Coturnix japonica: one gene and its partner. Each later gene encodes a partner of the first gene's protein in a complex. Links are inferred from orthologs where the notes say so. Each region holds a gene or a part of one and is shown in the gene's direction. Other genes may lie near its edges.

Evidence for each region.
Region 2: the proteins of FBXL5 (region 1) and IREB2 are in contact, whole or in part, in a cryo-EM structure (PDB 6VCD), measured with the Homo sapiens proteins. The link is inferred for Coturnix japonica from reciprocal best matches to the Homo sapiens genes FBXL5 and IREB2. Residues at the interface, in NP_036293.1 of Homo sapiens: Asp656, Glu657, Tyr661, Cys662, Asp663, Asn664, Ile665, His669, Ala670, Asp671, Thr672, Ala673, Ser674, Gly675, Cys676, Gln677, Asn678, Leu679, Gln680, Cys687, Arg688, Ser689, Gly690, Glu691; in NP_004127.2 of Homo sapiens: Asp89, Phe90, Ser129, Asn217, Val220, Glu221, Arg224, Arg228, Ala758, Gly759, Ser760, Arg763, Asn764, Thr777, Pro778, Arg779, Asn782, Ser783, Tyr784, Gly785, Ala786, Arg788.

What each region holds. Positions count from the first base shown.
Region 1 is NC_029519.1:69,533,469-69,537,286, forward strand, and holds part of FBXL5 (F-box/LRR-repeat protein 5), read left to right. Parts: coding exon 1-593; intron 594-2,336; coding exon 2,337-2,485; intron 2,486-3,818.
Region 2 is NC_029525.1:2,879,430-2,883,247, reverse strand, and holds part of IREB2 (iron-responsive element-binding protein 2), read left to right. Parts: intron 1-1,068; coding exon 1,069-1,252; intron 1,253-1,740; coding exon 1,741-1,880; intron 1,881-2,378; coding exon 2,379-2,550; intron 2,551-3,281; coding exon 3,282-3,382; intron 3,383-3,818. UniProt on the Homo sapiens protein: RNA-binding protein that binds to iron-responsive elements (IRES), which are stem-loop structures found in the 5'-UTR of ferritin, and delta aminolevulinic acid synthase mRNAs, and in the 3'-UTR of transferrin receptor mRNA.

The sequences.
Region 1 (3,818 bases):
GTTCTGAAAGGCTGCAGAAACAGGAATGCTAAGACTTCGTGGAAGAACAGGGAGATGACTCTGCAGTCCAACAAGAAGTATAATTGTTTGCACGAAATCAACAATGAAAACCTCATTGAGGGAACAGACAGTAAGCATCACTGGACTAAACCCGACGGCTCTGAAAACTTCAGTTCTGCGTATGTGTGGATGCTGAATGCAGATGATTTAGCTGATATTGAAGATGCTGCTGAGTGGAGACACAGAAATGTTGAAGGATTTTGTCTTGTGGAGCCAGCATCCCACATTAATTGTTCTGCATCTTGCTGCAGTAGAGACATTTATGGTTTAAGGACTAGAGGGTGGCAGCAGCACTGTGCTTCTACTGACTTCATTTACTGCGGTCACTCATTTTGCTGTGCTGGAACAGCACTAAGAACTATTCGAGCACTTCCAGAGTCCTCTGCACTGTGCAAAAAACCACCAAGGACTAAACAGTCAGAGGAAAAAGACTTGGCCTACTCTGGCAGTGACAAACCAGATGAAGAGACTGCACGAGTTCTTCAGTTTCTCAGTCTGTCTGGGTGTTACCAGATCACAGATCGTGCTCTCAGGTGAAAAGACGTTTCTGAGCTGTTTTGCTGCAGTGTGGTTTTTGTATTATCTGTGTGCTTGGGTTGCTCTGGGTTGAATCCACCTAGTCGCAGTTTAAGCATTTACATTGAGAACATCCAGTATATCTTAAGCAGTCCTTGCATCTCAAAGTATTGAGAATAGCAGATGTGAAAATTTTCTCCCAACTCTTCCTTTGAATGAAAGGATTAAAAAAGTTTCTTTTAGACAGCTCCTCTGAAATGAAGCACTTTGGTAAGTTTGCTTGCAGTAGATAAAAGCCTGACTTATTACTCAATGCCTTGTATTATGTCAGAAATGTGCAGCTACAGCTTCATAATGAAAATGAGACAAGACAGAAATGCTTGCAGTCACTTGCTCAGATGTGCTGTAGCTCCTGGGACTAATTAGAGCTGCTTGCAATTCAAGACTTCGTTCCTACTTGTACTGTACACTTTAGCCCGTGGAGAAACACTGTGAAGCACTGCAGGCACTGAATTGCCTCTCCATACACTTTGACACAGAATTTAGAGTACAGCTGTTCAGGTGTCTCCTAGCAGTTACTCAGGGACAGACAGCTGTGCTTTGCGGCTGAGCCTGATGTTGTCCAGGTGTAGGAGCAGACTGGTACTGCTGTCTGTGGTTTATTTGGCAATGGACAGGTAATGCTGCGTGTAGTTGACATGTTACCAGTGTTATTCTTCACTGAGTCCTATAGAATCAAAGGAAGACTTGATGCTTGAGTCATAGGGGGTGATTAGTTGTGGTCTCACATCAGTGCTTTTTGGTTACAGGGAAATGTTAAGAGTTGAGGGTATATTCTGCAGTAAGTGCTTCTTGCACTTCTGTAGTACTTTGGGTCCCAGAAGAAAAAATAATGAGACTCTAATGTACATTCATTTCATATAAACTGAACTTTATATTGATAGCTGGTTTTGTTAGTTGTTCTTTTTCCTGTCTGCTGACAAGGGAGGGTTTTGTATACTCATGCTTTTAGGACATAAAAGTGAAAAGGCCTTTGCTTGAACCTGGAACATGTTGATTGAAGCGTGAGTGGCTTTGTCTGTTCTCCCCTTTCTGACAGGTTTGCTGTCCTGTGAGCGCAGAGGAGCAGTCAGCCTAACACTGAGTGTGGGGTCAGATGCACTACAGCCTTGAGGCTCCTTTACCTGCAGTTGAACTCCTGCACTTGGAGTGAAAATAGAATTTGGCTTGAATAGTGTGTAGTGCTGTGATGGCAGAGAGAGGCTCAGCTGGTAAAGATTCATCTGACCCAAGGAAATACAAATTTGAGTTTCAAACTGACTAATAAAAACATAATACTCAAATTTTTTGGAAATTTTACACACCAAACTTGCAGTTCTGTTTTTGGGATGTGTTGAGAAATACACATCGCCATGGGAGTCTCACCAGTATCAGTGGTGTGTTGGAGAAGTGTGTCATGCTGGCTCCTAGAAATACTTGGTCATCCCCAGAATCATTAATGAAAAGTGGTTTCCCACAGAGCTGTATTTCTGTCAAAGGGAATTGTTAATTTCTGTAGAGATGGATTCATTTTTCAGCCCTGTCGTGTGGCTTCAAGGCTGATTAACCGTATGGGATGCCAGACTTGAAATTAAGTGGCTTATTAGAGGTGTGGTTTTCTTGCAGGATGTTAGTAAATACGTGACGTGGTGACATACAGGAGTACTTGTCAGCATAGTGCTGTGCCAGCTTTTAACACCCCTCTTTCTGTCTGTTCACAGGGCATTGACTTTGGGAGGAGGACTGCCACACTTGGAGCACCTCAATCTCTCGGGTTGTCTCACTGTAACTGGTGCGGGCCTGCAGGATTTAGTTTCTGCATGCCCTTCTCTAAATGATGAACACTTTTACTACTGTGACAACATTAACGGTAATGTCTTTTTATGAAGATGTGATCCTTGTCTGGGGAGTAATGTCTGGCTTAAGGATGTTTAAGAAACAAAGAAAAAAATCCCACCGCCAAAAAAACCCCAACACGCTGCAGCACTGCCAAAACCACACAAACTAAAAGCCTGCAAACTCTTTTCTTGGCTGCACAGCACTGAATTCAAGTGCTAGTTACAGAATCAGAACTGTTATGTCAGGTTGGCTTTTTGTATTTAAGTTTAATGCAGTTCTGTATTGCCTAGGGGGAAGGCATTCTTGGTCCATGTTCTCTTACTTTCTAAGCCTCTATTACCTATGCTAATCTGAAGTAAGTATATAACTGATACATGGTTGTCTTCTTCATCTCTTCCCTGTAAATGATGTTGAGTGCTTTCTTTATGGTGCTAAATCAAGAAAGAGCTGTCATTAGATTTGTAGCTTAGTGATTTTTTTGGGGGTGATGGAGAGAGGGCAGAGCTGGTTATGCAAACCTCACACGTTACAGTGGTTTGGGTGTAGAATACTATCATGTGTCCTTGTAGGAAATGTAACTTGGTCTTTCTAGCTTTGCTTGAATTACTTAGGGTTGAATGTTAGCTGGAGAAGGATCTGGAGAAATGCATAAAATATGTTTGTGGTGGAAGTCTTAGCGTTCACTGCAGCGCAATCCAGTCTTATGTCAGGTCCAGTAAGCATTCATAGCATTAGAGATGGGAACCACGGTGTGATTTTATTCCATGTGTGAACTTAAAACAGGTAAGTGCAACAGAATGGAAAGGAAGGATAATTGGGTTCACAGGGCTATAAGAACTGTGTGTAAAACAATATGGTATTTCCCTGATAGTTCATGGCAGTCAGCTCAGTTGGCATCTGTACTGAGCTGTAGCCACAGCAGCTATACAGGATGCCACAGCTTTGGTACTGTGAGTGAAACTGTACCGATGCTTGGGTATTCTGTCCATTGAAAGTCATGTGAGGTGATGTGCTTTACTGGACTGGATCCTTATGTTACAGGTCAGAGTATTAAATCATTTTTGCTTCCATAATTTTTGGATGACTTCATGGACTTTTGTGACACATTGATGCATTTCTGGTTTGTTACCTGGTTCTTTTCCTTCTTGACTTCTAAAATCTCTCCTTGCATTTCAATCTGGAAACTTTTATACCTTTTTAAAATCCTTCACTGACTCTTTCCTGCATCAAGTTGAACTTAATGTCTTATATGGAACCCTTTTCCTCCTTCATTTTATTCCTTTTTTCTTATAGTTTCCTATTTTTCCACTTGTCAGTAATCCCGGTTCTGATGCCCTGGTTTGTCTTTAGCTGTTTCTGTCTCC
Region 2 (3,818 bases), on another chromosome or scaffold:
TTCAGGTTTACATAATGAATGTAGCTTGTCAGGCTGTAAATCTGAGTTTAATGTGTGAGTGTAAAATGGGCTAGTAACAGGTTTATGAGTTTCAGTTTAAATAAGCTGTAAATCTAGCTGTTACATGGAGGGGAGAGGATGTTCAATTCTGATTGGAAAAAGTGGATACAGATTGGTTTGGTCTTGTCAGTGTGAATGTACGGGATAAAGTTAACACTTATTAAGCTGCAAGTGCAAGCTCTGTGCTATAGATCACAATTGGCTTTTTGGATAACAAGCTTGTTTATCCATACTCGTGTTGCAAATCTTACTGAAGCTAGAAATATTAAATGGAAGCTGATATTGAAGTATTGCTACTCTCAAAATAGGCAGCAGTGCCAGCAGATGTGTTTTGAATGCAAATCTTGTGGTGAGTATCAGCTTCCTTATAGCCAGGGATCTGCAGTGTTGGTGTTTGATCCTCATCCACTAATTTAATGTGGTTTAGGGATCCAATGAAATGATCCTAATCTATTCATGTAAGTAGACTAGGAAATTTTCAGAGAAGCTGCACATCAGCTTGTATGTGTGAAGGGGGAAATAACCAAGCTGGATTTTGTTTCAAGCCTTCATGGCAGTTTCTTTTGTAGCTATGTGGCATCCTGAGCTTGTATGTAGTGAGGCACTTGTATACATTGCCTCCTTAGTCACACACAGGTATGTAAAACCTAAACTGAAATCTGTGATAGATGTTAATGCTAATTCTGTTGTCTAAATATTAGTCTTGGCTGTGCTTGAAAATCAGTTGTGTGAGCTAGAAATTAAGAGCCTTGTATAGTCCTGCATTTGAGACTTAGGAACTTCTGATTCAGCCTTCAGCAGAATTGAGCGTATGGGCTTGTCAACCATTTAAGAATGCATGGGATCCAAGGAACTCATGTAACTGTTGGAATAATGAGCACAAGGCACATAAATAGCAATTACTATTGCATTGCATATCAGCTTTGTTGTTTTTGTTGTGTTCCAAAAAGAATTGAATAAATCCCTGAGAAAAATCTCTCTCTTTTCCTCTTTTTGGAAAAATAACAGTGGAGTTCGAAAGTTTTCAAGAATACTTCCATAATACCACCAGAGACTGGAATGGCACACCAGGTTAATTTGGAGTATCTATCAAGAGTTGTATTTGATGTGAAAGATTTCCTATATCCAGATAGCGTGGTTGGCACAGATTCTCATACAACCATGGTAAATGGCTTGGGTATCTTGGGCTGGGGTAAGTATGCTAACAGTAACTTGACAGCAGTTTGAAAGGCTTACTGAGGCATTACTGAGCAATACTTTCTTCCTACTTCCTAGAGTTGTTTCAGGCTCAGTTGTGAATTCTTCAGAATGTGTTTTTTTTGTCTTGACTAATGTTTCTTACCATCAAAAGCTGCTTGATGTAATTTAAAAATAGCAAAAAAGAAAACCCCAAACCTTTTGATATCCTGGTTGCTTTTTGTGCATGTAATGTAAAATTTGGAGTAAGATTTTCTTCATTGTGGAAAGCAAAACTTACATACAGAATGTCTTTCTTGTGAAGTGTGGTCAGACCACTTTGGCAGTAGTCTTGTTTTTTCATGTGCAAATATTTAATAGTAAACTCTTTCTTGCTACAGCCTATAAACCTATAGGAAGAGTTTTATTAGACTTGAGAACATAAAAATATTTAGTGTCTGTTTACTTAAGCTGATGAAAAACAAGGTAATATTCTCACTGCAGGTGTTGGGGGAATTGAAACAGAAGCTGTGATGCTGGGGATGCCTGTTACTTTCACTCTGCCTGAAGTGGTTGGGTGTGAACTGACGGGCACAGCCAGCCCACTGGCTACGTCCATAGACATCGTTCTAGGCATTACAAAGGTGAGTTCAGTGCCTGCTCAGACAAAGCAATCCATGGGTTTTGAGAAGTGAAATCCTGGCTATTTCTTGTCTTTTGACAGCATGTAGGCTTCTCTTCAAGCTCAAACTTCTGTGTACCCGTTTTTTATCTAAAGTGTTACAAGACAAAAAGCCCATCTGCTGGTGTAACTAAAACATGTACCTTCTGAAGCCAGGGCTTTGCCATCATGGCACAGAACTTCTTGTTCTAGTCATTTGAGAGCCAGTGTTAAAGCATTTAAGAGCTTTGGTTGCTTTAAAAATGTTCTTTCTGGTATGATGCTTTGGGAAGCATCCACCTGTTTTTGCCTTGGACATCTGAAGAACACAACTGCCAATAGAAGTGTGTCTTACGATGTCAACATCCAGCCTTGAATTTAGTACTCAGTACTTCATAAGTTGTGGGGTTTTTGTGCTGTTTGCAAGATGCATTGCTTCCATTGTTTCTTTGTATACCAAATGTTGTGTTCTTTTATACAGCATCTTAGGCAAGCTGAAGTTGCTGGAAAATTTGTGGAGTTCTTTGGGAGTGGAGTTTCCCAGCTGTCTGTGGCAGATCGAACCACAATAGCAAATATGTGTCCTGAATACGGTGCTATTCTGAGCTTTTTCCCTGTTGATAATGTGACGCTGAAGCACTTAAAGCATACAGGTAAAGATGAAATCCTAGGAGGACATTCACTGTGATAGTTTCATGTGTGGTAGTGCAAAATGAAACGTCCCTAAAAAGCCAAATCAGGATAATGGAGCAGTGAATCAAATCACAGCATGTTTCTGATTTTTTTTCACTGTGATTTCTTCCACTTGAAGACTTCTACTGACACCTTAAACTAAGGCAGAAGGATATGCATTCCTTGTCAGGCTAGAACTAACATAGAAGACCACAGGGTAATGAATAGATAAGAAGAAAGCTTACCTGAACTAGTAAGTCTTTTTGATGCTGAGATCTGACATATTTGAGCATTTTTAATAACAAACATGCATGGGCTGGTCAGCGCAAAGCAAACAAATCAGATTTCTTAACAGTGGCCAGTAATGCTGAATATTATCAGCTAAACGTGTGATCTGTCTTAAACAAGTAAATCTTAATATCAGAGAATCTTCATAAACTTAAGGGGCAAATCTGTAAGTTTAATTAGCTACAACTTCTAATGTTTAAAGAGCTTATTTTGTTCCTCAGTATGAAGAGAGAAAGTAAAACAGACAGAAAAAAACAGATGCCCCACCACCCTGTACTGTAATTTATGTATCGTTCCTGAGTAGTTCCTTTGGGAGTGGAATATGAAGTGGTGTGCCTTGGAAAAAAAAATACTTTGAATGTTCAGTTTTTGAATAGAAGTATTAATTTCTGAGAGTTATGCAACTTTGTTTAAATTTACTCAGGTTTCGATGAGGCCAAGCTTGAGGTTACGGAAGCATATCTTAAAGCTGTGAAGCTATTTAGAAATGATGAGAGTTCTTCCAGAGAACCTGAGTATTCCCAGGTATGCTTGAAATGACTTACTGCTGTATGTTTGGTTCTCATAACAAGTAACTGCTGTGGTTATTAGTTTTGTCTCCTGCTGTGATTTTTTGGTACTTCATTGAAGTTGCTTTTATTAACTCACAGTTCTAAGCAGAGCATGTTTTCAAGGCATGGTCAGGTGTGGGGGGAAGAGGAGAAGTAGGATAATGTTCATTTCAACTAATGGGAGAGGCATGAATTCAAGATCTGTACTTTATGCAAGTCTTAGGGATGATGGAAAAGGTAGGAGTAATGATAAGGCGCTTTGAATAAGAACCTTGTGAAGGTTTGGCTGGATGGGCTGCTTTTACAATGGAAGGCTGGATTCCATCTCAGAGGTGCCTCCTAACCTGTGCTTTCCTGTGACCAACAGTCTGGCACAATGAAACAGCCTGGAACTGGAGGCTGGAGGCTAG